Linked DNA regions of Chlamydomonas reinhardtii. The protein of the gene in region 2 interacts with the protein of the main gene of each other region in a pairwise test. Links are inferred from orthologs where the notes say so. Each region holds a gene or a part of one and is shown on either strand. Other genes may lie near its edges.

Region 1 (7,376 bases), on a different chromosome or scaffold from region 2:
CCTCAATCCACGCCTCCCTGGCAGCAAGACCAGGAGCTCTCCTAAGCACAACAGCCGCGCAACTCACCCTTCTAGCTTGGCCATCGATGGTACAGTGCCCTCCTCTCCACGGTACTAGCCTACTAGGGCCATCCGTGGCTCTCGCCAACGCGGCGTCCCCATGGGTGTGCACACGCCGAAGCAATGTGTTGAGTTTGCGCCTAGGACAGGCGACCACTCAGGACGGTGTAAGAGGGCTAGCGCTGAGACAGGATCAACCTATCGAGCTCCTCACATCAACGGACCTAGGCCGGACGGCTGGGGAGGACAGCATCAGCCTGTCCTCCAGACTCTGCACACACACGCTGCAGCACACACATGGTCTTGCGCAGAGCACGGACCGCTGTGTCAACACGCAACACACGCACCCCGGCGGTGCGCAGTCCGCACGTGCGCACCGGTACCAAGCTCATCAAACACATGTCTCGCCAACATCACGCGCCGCTGGAAGGACCACTGCCGATCGCCACATCCCCACCACCACTGCTGCCGCCACTACCGCCCTGCCGCACTGCACCCTCACCCGCCCGGCCGCCGCCCTCGGGCGCACCGCCGCCGCCCGACTGCCGTACCGCATCGCCGTCAGAGGCGGCGGTGCCGCCACCAGCGGTGGTGGTAGCAGTGATGTTGGAGGTGCGGGACTGTGAGGTGGCGCCAGCGCTGGCGCCGGTCGCGTCCTGGTCGGCGGAGACGAAGGAGGTCTGCGTGGAGGCGGCACACGGCCAAGATTGTTGGAAAGGCGAGGGGGATCAGGGGCGTCGTGTCCAACACATTTGGCGTGTGCCTGGCATAGTCCGTGCGCAGTGCGCGTTCATGCACTACTCTTGCCCTTGCACCTAGCTACCCGCGGCCCCCGCCACTTCTCCATACCTGTGCCGCCCCCTGGTCGTATTGCTCCGCCGACACATTGCCCCACGTCTCCTGGGCATTGACACCACTGCGCCGGTCCTGTGGCGTGTGGGGTTCGGGTGTGGTCCAAGGCTTAGCCGCTTACACCAACAAACTGTCGAGTGCGTGTGCCAACATCGCTCTATAAACGATTGAACACAAACTGCCTTTCTGGTGTTCCTGGGGGGCTTCGCCCCCCCCCCCGAATCGCTGTGCTCGGGGGGCTCAGCCCCAAAAGGGTTGTTATCGAAGCGCAAGAACAGATACGAGGGCTGCCCTACCTGTGCAGGCGCGTGTCACCAAGAGCACCGTCATTGTGATGGGCGAGGACACAAACCCCCTCCTCCAGTCCTACACAGCCCTCCGCCCCCTCTTGCCCCCCCGCTGTACCTGCAGCAGCATGGCTCCAGGCATCTTGCCCTCCGCCGCCTGCCGCTCCAGAAGAGCGTCCTTGGCAGCCTGGAGCTCCTCCTGGGCGGTGGTGGGGAGTGGGTGGGGAGGGGGGCCGGGTGGGAAGTGTATAGAGACGGGGGCGCAGTCGTTTGCAATTCCGCAGGAAGTCAAGACCCGAAGCGCACATGCACACGCTCCAGGCCCTCGGCCCCCAGCCGTCACGCCGTCATGCCGGCACGCCGTCACGCCGTCACGCCGTCACACCTCCACGCCCCACCTTGGGCTTGTCCACCCGCCTGCCGCTGTCGTCCAGCTGGCTGGTGGCGATGTAGCCGCCCGTGGTGTCCTGCAGCACGTGTAGGTAGTAGCAGCAGCAGTGGGGGCAGGGCAGTAGCAGCACATGTAGGCAGTAGCAGCAGCAGTGGGAGCAGGCAGTAGCAGCATGAAAGGCAGTAGCAGCAGCAAGGGCAGAAGTGGTTGGGGCAGCCGCTGGTCGGTGGACAGGCACTCGTCAATAGCAACAACATGCCACTGTCGCTCACCATGTTTGGGCGGCGCGGCCGCGGAGTGGTGTCGCCTTGCGCCGAGCTGCTGCTGCTGCTGCCGCCGGCTGACGCACGCGTGCTTGTGGCAAAGGCGCGGTCGCTCGATGCTTTGTGCGACGGCTGTAGATGTGCGTGTTTGAACACTTTGACTTGCGCCAAGGGAGATGGCGGGGCATTTGCGTGCGGCGGGGCATTTGTTCGCGGTGGGGCACTTGCCACGCCATGCCTGGGGCCCGCGGGTCAATAGCTAAGCCCTTCGAAACTCAAGTCCCAATCCTGCCTCCCACCTGACAGCTGCTGTCGTGGAAGGCTTGCAACTGCAGTGGCAGTGGCTGCAGGGGCCGGTGGCGCGGACAGGGCGTGGCCAGCGCGAGGTGCGTCCGGGGTTGGGTTGGTTCGGCAGTAGCAGCCGTCGCCGGCGGGCGGGCGCTGAGCGGGGCTGCAGCAGTGCTCCTGAAAGCCCCGGCAGTCATGTTGCAGGAGCATGATGCATGCCACAAGAACCCGGCAGCGGCGGCGCGGGCAGCGGCGGTCGCTGGCAACAGGAAGGCGGGGCCGGGCGCGGCCATGGCCCCGGGCGCCTGAGACGACTGGCAGCTGACAGCCCTACAGCTCACTTGACATGCACCTGAGGTTCAAGGTATGGGGCTAGTCTCAGCACGAACTGGACATGGCGAGGCATAGGCGTGCATACGGGATCGCAGGCTAATAACGTATGGCACGCATACCGGGCCACCGGGAGGGGATGGCAGATGGAATGGGTTTGGCACGCCCATTCTTCAACACCCTACCTTGCCGTGCTACGGCGGGTCCTTGTTTTTAAGCACTCCGTTCTTTTAACGCACCCTTCCGCCTATAGCAGTTGAACAGTGCCCAGAGGAAGCGTAACAACACAAGAATCTCTGCAAGAATCTATCAGTTTCCAGCCTCGCAGGAGGCTGCCGCTGCGGCCTCCAAGCTGACTTGACTCTACTATACAGATACCTGACCTCCGAGCTAACTAGAGAATGCCAAAGCGCACTACGCTAACGTTTACCAGCGAGGACGGGCCCCGCGTTGACTCGGCAAAGCTTTATGTCTATCACTGCAAATATTCTGGACGTCATGCCTTCACGATAGGTGGGCTGAGCGCTGAAGCCGGTTGACGACAGCATTTTCGCGCTCACTCTCGCGTGCGGACAAGAAGTGAAATCGGAGTGCCGCACACGCACGCAGATGCTGACCTGAAGAAGATGCCACGGCGGCGAACGGACGGGGCTTACATCGTGGACACGAACGAGCATACCATCAAGCTCTACACCACGGATGGTGGGCTCAAGTACATCAAGCGGTGAGCCGGGCGAGGGCACGCTGTACACCGTGACTTCACACCGGCGCACGTAGGGGACTCAGGGGGCTCACCGGTGGTTACCTTCGCAGCGGGTGCAGGGCAGGGCAGGGTGTGGCAGGGGTGAAGGACCAAAACCAACGCAACCGCGCCTGCCTCCCTCCCTGCCGCGTATCCGTGCCCTCCCTCACTTCAACCCAACCCCTACTCCCTCTTCTCCCCCTCTCACCCAACTCGCAGCCAGAACGGCGCCATTGAGAAGCAGTACCGCCAGAACCTGGGCCAGCTGCCCATCGCCTACAAGTCCGACCTGACCAGCCCGCTGCTCTACATCCTGGACAACGCCGTCACAACCTTCTCCAACCAGAACGCGCGGAGAGCGGTGAGGAGGAGGAGGAGGAAGAGGAAGAGAGGGAGAGGGAGAGGGAAGGGGTCGTTGAGAGGAAGAGGAGTGCGGAAGGGGAGAGCGGGTGCTGGGCGGCATTCTGGGATGGCGGCACGGGCGGACGGGCCTGGCGGCTCCTTGTTGCGCACTTTGGCCCCAGGTACGGTACCACCCATTTCCAACGAGCATCCCAAGTACCCGCAGCCCACCTCCCCACCACCCCAACCCCGACCCGCCCCCGCACCCCTACCCCCAGGGCAAGCTGCTGGTGCCTCCCTGCATCACGCGCTCCGACAAGACGGGCCTGGTGGAGATGCGCATCGAGCTGGACGAGCGCTCGCACCGCTGCTGCCTGAGCCGCGTCACGGCGGACGTGGTGCGGGTGCACGTGACGGGCCTCATGGCCGGCGACGCCGTGCACGAGGAGCTGTTCGACCTCATCAGCAAGGTGCGGGCGGGGGCGCGTGTGCGTAAGTGTGTGTGGGTGGGGGGTGGGAGGGGTTATGGGGCGCTCATCGGCCGGTGGCCGTTCATGGAACAATGGGAGGGGCCTGATCCGCGTTGCTTTCAGGGGGTTGAGGAGAGGAGGGGTACGGTGGTGGCGGTGTGTGGTGCTAGCGGGTTTTTCCAACAACCAGGAGAAAGCAAAAAGAGAGAAGATCACGATCATGTGGGGAAGGTTAGGGGCGAGGGTGCAGATGAGGAGAGGGGCTTGGAGTGGAGGGAGGTTGAATGAAGGCAGGAGGAGGAGGCTGGGGAGAGGATAGGAGAGGAATGGGAAAAGCATGCCAGCCACGTTTCCCAGGCGCCTGGGCGATGGTTGGCTCGCACACTGGGGCCTCCAGGAACCCTGGTGCGAGCCCCCGCTCCCCACATGTGCCACATCTGCATGGCGGGAGCAGCTAGGCGGACAGCGTCTGCTATGGCGGCACTAGTTTCTTACCCCTGCTCGCGCCTTCCCTCCTACTGCTGCCCCCTCCCCCCAGGTGCTCAACGTGCGCCTGTCCCAGCTGGACATCCGGCGCGCCAAGCACAACCGCAACCGCATCATGACGGTGGAGGGCCTCACGCCCGAGCAGGTGTTCGAGCGGCTGAGGGAGCAGCTCAAAAAGCAGAGCACCGCGCGCGAGGAGAAGCGGCAGCGGCGGCACGGGTAGCTGTGGTTACGGAGGTGGGGCAGGTGTTGCGGCGGCTGTATAGTGCTGGGTGGAGGCGGAGATGGAGGTTGGGAGGCTTCGAAGGGGCGGGCGGAAAGCAGTCGGATCGTGTGTGGTCGTTGGCTTCAGGTTGGGGCTGCGGTGTGGAGGTAGCCAGGGCCGGGACCGCCCGGCCCCCGACGATCACAGGAAGATTTTGGAAGTGTAAGCGGAGCCTGCTGCGTCCGTTGTGTGGCACACACCAACTGCGCTGAGGACCGAACAGGTGGACATGTCGGAGCTGACTCCCGACATGCCAACGCAGTCCACTCCGCCCAGGCTGGCGCAACGGGGATGTGAGCAGGTGCTGTGAGTTATTTGTAACTGCTTACTATGAATGGTTTAACGCAGCGATAGTGGCAATTCTAGGTTGGCCTCGCGGATGGTGCGTGTCGCGCGAGCGGTCGCAGTTGGTCGCGCGCGGGCGGGCGAGCCTTCGCTCTCTTGCGCGAGGAGCAGCTCAGTATTGGTATAATTGTTGCTTTGAATTATCGCAAGCAACCACTCGACTGGTTCCACCACTCGCACCACAACCACCGCTCGCGACCACACAGGCGCGGCTGTGCCCCATGCAGCCCGACGTCATAAGTGCGTCCGCGCGCCACCAAACACTTCATATTATGCATTGGGGCTCCATACAGTAGCGACTCTATACGTGACACTACACTTACCGTGAACGCAAAACACCTAAGTGCTTGAGCCTCTATTGTCCCAAAGCCCCGAACCCCAGCCGAGATGTCTGCCTTCACTGCGCGCCCTGAGGCGCTGGCCTCCAAGGCCGGCCGCCGCACTTTCGCCCGCAACACTGAGGCCCTTCGCTCGCAGCTGCTGGGCCTGCCCAAGCGCTCCAGCCGCGTGACCGCCAAGTACTCGCCCAAGCAGCTCGTAAGTGATCGATCTGTGCTGCAAAGCTTCAACACACCAATAATATCAGTGGTTATAAGGGATAGACATGGCATTGGGTATTTTTGAGGGCTTGGGTTGTCGATCTGCTTGGGCCATCGCCCACGTAGGCTTGCGCGTGTGGCCACCACCAGCCCACACATGGCCGACCCACTGAATGCATTTGTATTACATGTGTGGGGATATGGGAGCCGAACAGCGGTCCTATGAGCGCTCGACCGGGGCTTCGCGACTGAACCACACATCGCGACGAATGATGCTGAGCCCTTTCCTTTGCTTGCATTGCGCATTCAGAGCGAGAACCTGGCCTCTGAGCTGGTGGCCAAGCTGCCCAAGGCGGCCCTGGCCTCCCTGCTGTCCCTGTCCACCGCGGGCGTGGCCACTGCTGCCGACTACTTTGCGCCCCCCACCGACGCCAACACCACGACCACCACCGCGACAACCCAGGCCCCCGCCTCCATGAACTTCGCCTCCTCCGCGCCCCTGGCTGCACCCGAGGTTCGCTCCGAGTACACCCTGCCTGAGGGCAACCAGTGGCGCTACTCCGAGTTCGTGAACGCGGTCGAGGCCGGCAAGGTGGAGCGCGTGCGCTTCTCCAAGGACGGCTCCCAGCTGCAGCTGACCGCCGTGGACGGCCGCCGCGCCACCGTGGTCCTGCCCAACGATCCCGACCTGGTTGACATCCTCGCCAAGAACGGCGTGGACATCAGCGTCAGCGAGGGCGACCAGCAGGGCAACTACGTCGCCCTGCTCGGCAACATCCTGTTCCCCCTGATCGCCTTCGGCGGCCTGTTCTTCCTGTTCCGCCGCAGCCAGAACGGCGGTGGCGGTGCCGGCCCCATGGGCGGCATGGGCGGCGCCATGGACTTCGGCCGCTCCAAGTCTAAGTTCCAGGAGGTGCCCGAGACTGGCGTGGTGTTCGATGACGTGGCGGTGAGTTACAGGGCTTGGGTTGGGAGGATGGGTGGTGCTGGTGGGGATGTTGGGTTGATGGGTACTGGGGAATGATCATATGAGCATGGGTCATAGGCTCTGAAAAGCGCTGGGCTGGACTCTGTAGCACGGCTATGCAAGGCGCTCGACAGCAGCAACACGCCGACCGCATACTACCTTGCTTCGACACGGCCTCATCTCACCGCGCCCAATACCCACCACAACCCACATTGAACTGCAGGGCTGCGACGGTGCTAAGCTGGAGCTGCAGGAGGTTGTCGACTTCCTGAAGAACCCCGACAAGTACACCGCCCTGGGCGCCAAGATCCCCAAGGGCTGCCTGCTGGTGAGTCTACAGCCCTTAATACACAGCAACAGTCCAATTTACGGCAACAGCAAATGCTCAACCATCCAGTTGCATTCCTAATTGTGAGATGCCGTCTTGCTCGATGTGTCTGAAGCAAATGCCCGTAGTCTGATGCCCACGGTCTAATGAGTTTCCTTATGTGTATCGCAGGTCGGTCCCCCCGGTACCGGTAAGACCCTGCTGGCCAAGGCCGTGGCCGGTGAGGCCGGCACCCCCTTCTTCTCCTGCGCCGCCTCCGAGTTCGTGGAGGTGTTCGTGGGCGTGGGTGCCTCGCGTGTGCGCGACCTGTTCGAGAAGGCCAAGTCCAAGGCGCCCTGCATCATCTTCATTGATGAGATCGACGCCGTGGGCCGCCAGCGCGGCGCTGGCATGGGCGGCGGCAACGACGAGCGCGAGCAGA
Region 2 (7,436 bases):
TTTAGACGGAGCCTTCGCGGCTCGCGACCGGGCCGGCCGCGCGAGAATTGCGAAAACAACTCCTGAGGCCAGACCAAATGCCGCTCAACCAGTGCGACATACGGCTTACACATATACCTGTATATCTAATTTCTAACAGCGCTCGCCAGCACCGCCACAATCGTGTGCCAGGTCGGGCCGTGGCACGGTGCCCGGGCACTGTCTTGCGTGCGCTTCCTGGGCCGCCATGCCCCTCTGGTGCACACCACTCCCACCCCCGCCCTCTAGACACCTCTGGATATATGCATAGTAGTCGCCAGCATCACAACGTGGCAAAGCAGCCCGCACACGGACGTCGCCAAGGCGGCACCCAGCCCGGGGGTGCGTGCAAGGCCACGCGCTGCGCCCTGAGCCGGCAGGGGCTGCCCGGGCTGACCACGCATGCCGCCATGGCGTGTCCGGCTGGCACAGAGCCCGCGCATAGCGATGCAGGCGGCTGTGGGCAGCCAGCAGCCGCCGACACGCACCCACCCATGCCGTTCGTCGCCCACTGCCGCCCACTGCACAAGCGCAGTGCATCCCCAGTCGCGGCCCGGGCGTGGGACTGGTTGAAGGGGCGCCGTCCCACGTCAGGTAGTACCCAGAGCCTGGCTGGCAGTGTGGGGATGCGCGGAGGGGCGGAGTGGACAAGGCGCGTGTGCAGGTATGCGTGCTTCGTGTGGGGGGCCTTGACGGCGGGCGGCTCGTCCGGTGCGGTATGGGCCGCTCCCGTGCCCTGGAGCCTGTGCGCCGCGCCTGCCCGGCTCTCAGTGCTGAGCCAGCCTAGATGCCATGCTATAACGGCGCTCGGGCCGCCAGGAATCCACACGGCCGGGCCACACGGTGTCCGGGCGCCCGGCCACCCCACACGGCGCAGGGCCCACGGAGGGTCCCAGCGTCCGCGCGGCTGCTGCAAAAATGCCCAGCCCTGATTCTTTCGGACGTGTGTCCATAGAGGCTTGCTCGGAGCTCCCTGGCCGTGCACGGGGGCCATACCTGGCGCGTGGGTGGGCATGTTGACATGTTTGCCGGGTCCGCATTTCGTTAGGATTCGGGCTACCCCCACTTCAAGGCAGCTTGTTTGCGGTCATTTGAGGCGACCTATATGCTCATATGCAAATGGAGGAACCGACGCCAGGAAAGTGGCGACTTTTAGACGGAGCCTTCGCGGCTCGCGACCGGGCCGGCCGCGCGAGAATTGCGAAAACAACTCCTGAGGCCAGAACAAATGCCGCTCAACCAGTGCGACCTACGGCTTACACATATACCTGTATATCTAATTTCTAACAGCGCTCGCCAGCACCGCCACAATCGTGTGCCAGGTCGGGCCGTGGCACGGTGCCCGGGCACTGGCCCGCGTGCGCTTCCTGGGCCGCCATGCCCCTCTGGTGCATACCACTCCCACCCCCGCCCTCTAGACACCTCTGGATATATGCATAGTAGTTGCCAGCATCACAACGTGGCAAAGCAGCCCGCACACGGACGTCGCCAAGGCGGCACCCAGCCCGGAGGCGCGTGCAAGGCCACGCGCTGCGCCCTGAGCCGGCAGGGGCTGCCCGGGCTGGCCGCGCATGCCGCCATGGCGTGGCCAGCTGGCACAGAGCCCGCGCATAGCGATGCGGGCGGCTGTGGGCAGCCAGCAGCCGCCGGCACGCACCCACCCATGCCGTTCGTCGCCCACTGCCGCCCACAGCACAAGCGCAGTGCATCCCCAGTCGCGGCCCGGGCGTGGGACTGGTTGAAGGGGCGCCGTCCCACGTCAGGTAGTACCCAGAGCCTGGCTGGCAGTGTGGGGATGCGCGGAGGGGCGGAGTGGGCAAGGCGCGTGTGCAGGTATGCGTGCTTCGTGTGGGGGGCCTTGACGGCGGGCGGCTCGTCCGGTGTGGTATGGGCCGCTCCCGTGCCCTGGAGCCTGTGCGCCGCGCCTGCCCGGCTCTCAGTGCTGAGCCAGCCTAGATGCCATGCTATAACGGCGCTCGGGCCGCCAGGAATCCACACGGCCGGGCCACACGGTGTCCGGGCACCCGGCCACCCCACACGGCGCAGGGCCCACGGAGGGTCCCAGCGTCCGCGCGGCTGCTGCAAAAATGCCCAGCCCTGATTCTTTCGGACGTGTGTCCATAGAGGCTTGCTCGGAGCTCCCTGGCCGTGCACGGGGGCCATACCTGGCGCGTGGGTGGGCATGTCGACATGTTTGCCGGGTCCGCATTTCGTTAGGATTCGGGCTACCCCCACTTCAAGGCAGCTTGTTTGCGGTCATTTGAGGCGACCTATATGCTCATATGCAAATGGAGGAACCGACGCCAGGAAAGTGGCGACTTTTAGACGGAGCCTTCGCGGCTCGCGACCGGGCCGGCCGCGCGAGAATTGCGAAAACAACTCCTGAGGCCAGACCAAATGCCGCTCAACCAGTGCGACCTACGGCTTACACATATACCTGTATATCTAATTTCTAACAGCGCTCGCCAGCACCGCCACAATCGTGTGCCAGGTCGGGCCGTGGCACGGTGCCCGGGCACTGGCCCGCGTGCGCTTCCTGGGCCGCCATGCCCCTCTGGTGCATACCACTCCCACCCCCGCCCTCTAGACACCTCTGGATATATGCATACTAGTCGCCAGCATCACAACGTGGCAAAGCAGCCCGCACATGGACGTCGCCGAGGCGGCACCCAGCCCGGGGGTGCGTGCAAGGCCACGCGCTGCGCCCTGAGCCGGCAGGGGCTGCCCGGGCTGACCACGCATGCCGCCATGGCGTGTCCGGCTGGCACAGAGCCCGCGCATAGCGATGCAGGCGGCTGTGGGCAGCCAGCAGCCGCCGGCACGCACCCACCCATGCCGTTCGTCGCCCACCGCCGCCCACTGCACAAGCGCAGTGCATCCCCAGTTTGCGGTCATTTGAGGCTACCTATGTGCGAAATGGTAAATGTTTGTTATGTGGTACAACCATAACACGCCGTGCACGGTTACTTTATTCCTGCTGCCCCAGCCGCTTGCCTGTACTCCTGCGGCGTGCCGTCACTGCCGTGCCTCTCATCGTGCCGCCCCCATGCTCGTGTGTCAGATTTTTCCCCACTTGGCAGTCGGCAGGCCCCCACGAGTTCCATAGTTGTTTACTTTTCACATAAAGGACAGATATGGTTTAATCGCGTTTGACAGCACGAGACCGAGTCGGAAGAAGCAACTGTCACTGCCATCTGCCACTGCATGTAAAAATGAGTCTAGCACAACGTTGATCCCTACTTGAGCTCTATTAACTTGCTTTTGCGCCTAGGCTCGGCGAGCCTCGGAAATGGGCAAGACGGACAAAAAAGAGAAGAAGGACAAAAAGGAGCGCAGGGATAAAAAGTCAAAGAAGGAGCGCAAGGAGAAGAAAAGCAGCAAGCGATATGAAAGCTCTTCCAGCTCGTCTTCTTCTGAGTCGGAGGGCGAGCAGCATCGCCGCGTGGATAAACTGGTAAGCTCTCAATGATACGTAAATTGAGCTTCCGAGGCTTGCTTTTGGGCTTGGTGGCCAAGATCCCGAGTTTAGTTTGGCTGCGCTTGCCGCGCACTGGGCTGTACAGGCACCATAACAACTGTAACAATGCCTTTGATGTCGGGAATGGATATGAGGTATCCTGAGCTTGGGCACATGCAGTCGGCACCGCCGTGCCCCGTCTGGGCCCGCACTCAGGCTGGCAACCCCACTGCCCGCGGCCGTGCTTCCTTGATTGCGCAGGCCACCAAAGTGGCGGCCCACCTGCAGCGAACGGGCGCCAGCACGGGTGGTCCCACGTTTGTGTGGACTAAGAAGATCGAGCGCGAGCTGGAGAGCGGCAAGACCGTGAGGGACATCGCCAACGCACAGTCGCGCATCTCGCAGGCGGAGCGCATGGTGAGTGGTCCGGGCTGCGAGCGTAGTGTTGGGGAAGGGTAGTTCAGGGCGGGTGTAGGGGCTCTTCATGCTGGGTTGGTGTGCCCTGGTGCAAAAGCATTGAGCAAGGGCTCGAGGACAGGTGGCAATGACGCCTGAGGCCTGACCGCCCCATCTGCTCTGCATTGTGTCCATCGCAGGAGGAGATTGAAAAGGTCCGCAAGCGGCAGGCGGAGCGCGAGGAGGAGAAGGCGCGCCGCGAGGAGGAGCTGGTGCGTGCGGGTTGGGTCATACGCGGGCCACGGGCCGGTCGGGCGGTGCTGAAAGTCCGGACCAGGTAGAACTTCATCAGTGGGGTTGGGTGTTAGGAGTGGCATGCAGTGGGCTGACCTTTGCCAGGGGCTTGCTAGGGGCTTGCCAGGGGCTTAGTAGGTTGTCGTGGGCAGAGTCTATCAAACTCGGTTGGCGGGTACGGTCGAGGCTCGCAATCGGGGGTTGTCAGCTACCCAGCTGCCCAGGGACATCTGCGTGGCGATTTCACGTGATATGGCGCTGGTACCGGGCAAGAGTGGGACCCGGACGGCGACGGGCATCAGGGGCCCGGGCGGACTGCTCCGTAACGCCCCTCAGCCCTTGCCCACAGCGCCTTCCCTTGCGGCATGACTCCTGCCCCATACCTGGGCTTGGAACTGACTAACCCCTCCCTCCCAACACCCTCACTCGCGCAGTCTCTCATCCAGCGGCTGCGCGCCGCCCAGGAGGCCATGGAGAGCGAGGCCAAGGAGGAGGAGTTCTACCTCAACGCGCTCAAGAACAAGGCGGAGAAGCGGTTCGCAGAGGTGAGGGGGCAAGGCCGGGGTGCAGGCGCTTGCCCAGGCGAGGGAGCGGGTGAGGAGGAAGAGTCGCGGGCAAACGGGCGTGCGCCTACTGGGTTATCATTCTTATCAAGCCGAAACCATTACCGTCACGTCATCGACCGCCGCCGCTTACACCACCACCATCGCGCCTGCCACCAACTCCGCCCCATCCCGGCACCACCCCTTAGGGCCGGCCCAGCTCCATCGATAAGATCGCCAAGAACCTGCACGAGTCGCTGCACGGCGTGTACGGCTGCGACATGACGGAGCCCTGGAGCTACTTCGAGGGGCTGCTGCTGGACGAGGCCACCGAGCTGCACCAGGGCATATGCGACTACCAGGTGCGAGGATCATGCGTGCGGGGGTAGGGGCGCGGGGAGGAAAGAGGGAGGCGAGGGAGGCGCTCACCGGTCGAAACAGGCACAACCGGGCTAGCGCAGAAAGTTGTGCCTAAGCTCTTGCCCGGAAAGCAACAACAACAAACATCCGGTAACGGGAACCACCACACCTGCTTTCACGGCGCCACAGGAGTACGACAAGTACGACGACCTGCATCAGAAGTTCTGGGCGGCGCTGCGGGTGGTGGCGGACGCCGAGCTGGAGGAGGCCAAGAAGAGGTGCGGGCAGGGTGCGGTGGGGGCGTTGGGGGCACGTGGAGATGGATGAGGAGCTGGCTTGCTGTGCTTGCTAGGGGCCTCGGACGGGTGGGCGTCACGACCGCCGGGAAGGGTTGCTTGGTGCACAGCGGAGCAGCGGAGCAGGCATAGAGCACGTACGCATCTGGATGTGCGGTAAAGCCTCAGCCCTGAGTCCACTGCTGTCCACGCCCTCCTCAACTACACATCCCGTGGGGACGTTGCTTTTCGTCCTGAGCACGTTGCGCGTTGCTTGCCGCGTACAGGGATGCGGCCGACCGCGCCGCACTGCGCCAGGGCCAGGGCGGTGCCGGCGGCAGTGGACGCGGGGGCGGTGGTGGCAGTGGCCGGGGAGGCGGCGGCGGCGCGGCGGCCAGCGCGGCTGCCGCTGCCGAGGAGGAGGCGGCTGGGCGCAGCAGCCTGCACAGTGACGTGGAGGTGCAGATCGAGAACATGCTGTCGGGTGCGTGCGTGCATGGCGGCGTGGGAGGCCATCGCAGGGTTCTGTAGCGGGTGCCTTGGGGTGAGTGCATTTCGGCGGGCGTGCCTCGTCAGTTCGTCAGAAACCTCGTGACTTGACCGTGCCCTGATGAGCCCCTAGACAGACACAAGAAAACAGGCTAGCAAACAACCCCGCGTGCCCACGCACCTGCACCTGACCACCCGCCCGCCCGCGCAGGCCAGACCTACCCGGCGCTGGTGGCCATGGAGGGCGACGTGGAGCGGGCGCTGTCGGGCGGGCTGGGCGACCCGGAGTACTGGGAGGCGGTGCTCAAGAGGCTGCAGGTGAGTGTGGCGTTAGGAGCGTTGTTTGGGGTGGTGGGGTTGTCTCGCCATTTCCAGCAAGCAATCGGAGACACGAGGATGCATACCCGGACGAGCTGTCCGGTGCGTCCGCAAGTGCAGTGCATCGTCCTTGCCGCAACTGCGCCCCTGATTTCCCGTGCCGCGCCACGCCTGCCCGCCTGCCCCCGCCTGCCCCCAGGTGCACAAGGCCAAGGCCCAGGTGCGGGAGCTGCTGGCGGCCTTCATGCAGCGCCACATCAGCGCAGAGATCATCAAGCGCGAGCAGGCGCGAGAGGAGCGCAAGCGGCAGGCGGAGGAGCGGCGGCAGCAGGTGCGGGCGTGTAGCAGGGGAAGCGGGCGGGGTGCGGGCAGGCAGTCGGGCGGGTTGCGGGCGCGCACCGGGCGGCCGGGCGCTATAGTGGTCATTTGGTGGGCGCGCGCGCTGTGGATGAGGCTTGCAGGCCATATGTACAGGAGCAGCCATGGGGTATGGCTAGCCGGAAGGACGGCGGGTAATAAGGATTGCCGGGACAGGGGATGGCTGGCAGAAGGGCACAGGGAACAAGAGCTGTCAGGGAGATTGTCAGGCAGCGGACAGTCGAGGCAGCGCTGAATAACATCTCCGGGAGACATCTCACGTGCCCTTCCGCCTCGCGTGCATGCTTTGTGGGCGGCATCTCAAGCGCGTTTGACATCCCCAAACCTTCTGCCCAGTGCTGCGCGCTGACCCAGTCGCGGCTGTCGCCCTTTCCTTCTTCAGGCGCTGGCGGAGGGCCGCGACCCCGCGGAGTTGGACTTGGAGGAGAGCAGCAGCGAGGAGGAAGAGGAGGAGGAGCCGGAGCGGCCGGAGAAGCCGGAGCGGGGAGGCGCGGCAGGAGCAGCTGGAGGGGCGGCGGGCGAGGAGCGGAGACGCAAAGAGCCGGGCACGGGGCCCGCGACCGAGGAGGTAAGTGCATGACAGGGCACTGGACACAGGGCAGGTTGGCCCAACCAGACGTGACAAGGCTCACGGCTGGAATGGGCACATTACGGCGTGTGATGTCCGTTCACGCCTAGGTCCTCACTACTCCTCCTGTCTTCACGCGCATCCATGTTTCATCCCTCCTCTGTACAGGAAGCAGCGGCGGCGGGGCCGTCGCGGCCAGCCGGCGCCGACCAAATGGATACGGACGGCGGCGCCGGCACCAGCAAGGGCGAGGGAGCTGACGGGGACGCGGGCGGCGAGGGCGAGGGCGGGGACGCGGCGGCGGGCGGCGAGGAGGAAGCCTCGGAGGAGGAGGACGAGTT

What was found.
Region 1: the proteins of CHLRE_09g398650v5 (region 2) and CHLRE_12g485750v5 interact in binary tests that used the Arabidopsis thaliana proteins (3 or more experiments, as listed by UniProt). The link is inferred for Chlamydomonas reinhardtii from reciprocal best matches to the Arabidopsis thaliana genes AT1G03910 and AT5G63440.

The regions. Positions count from the first base shown.
Region 1 is NC_057015.1:1,686,464-1,693,839, reverse strand, and holds CHLRE_12g485750v5 (uncharacterized protein), read left to right. Parts: upstream 1-2,705; 5' UTR 2,706-2,872; coding exon 2,873-2,984; intron 2,985-3,080; coding exon 3,081-3,195; intron 3,196-3,432; coding exon 3,433-3,574; intron 3,575-3,833; coding exon 3,834-4,025; intron 4,026-4,563; coding exon 4,564-4,734; 3' UTR 4,735-5,109; downstream 5,110-7,376. Other genes in the region: CHLRE_12g499301v5 (uncharacterized protein), read right to left, coding at 474-740, 910-987, 1,318-1,398, 1,598-1,666, 1,863-1,985, 2,153-2,434; CHLRE_12g485800v5 (uncharacterized protein), read left to right, coding at 5,509-5,658, 5,971-6,609, 6,851-6,955, 7,127-7,376. UniProt on the Arabidopsis thaliana protein: May play a role during early embryonic development. Probably involved in pre-mRNA splicing.
Region 2 is NC_057012.1:1,344,362-1,351,797, forward strand, and holds the start of CHLRE_09g398650v5 (uncharacterized protein), read left to right. Parts: upstream 1-3,157; 5' UTR 3,158-3,307; coding exon 3,308-3,472; intron 3,473-3,736; coding exon 3,737-3,892; intron 3,893-4,071; coding exon 4,072-4,143; intron 4,144-4,599; coding exon 4,600-4,710; intron 4,711-4,916; coding exon 4,917-5,069; intron 5,070-5,256; coding exon 5,257-5,345; intron 5,346-5,629; coding exon 5,630-5,826; intron 5,827-6,042; coding exon 6,043-6,149; intron 6,150-6,348; coding exon 6,349-6,480; intron 6,481-6,909; coding exon 6,910-7,095; intron 7,096-7,263; coding exon 7,264-7,436. UniProt on the Arabidopsis thaliana protein: Plays a role in pre-mRNA splicing by facilitating excision of a subset of introns. Required for embryogenesis.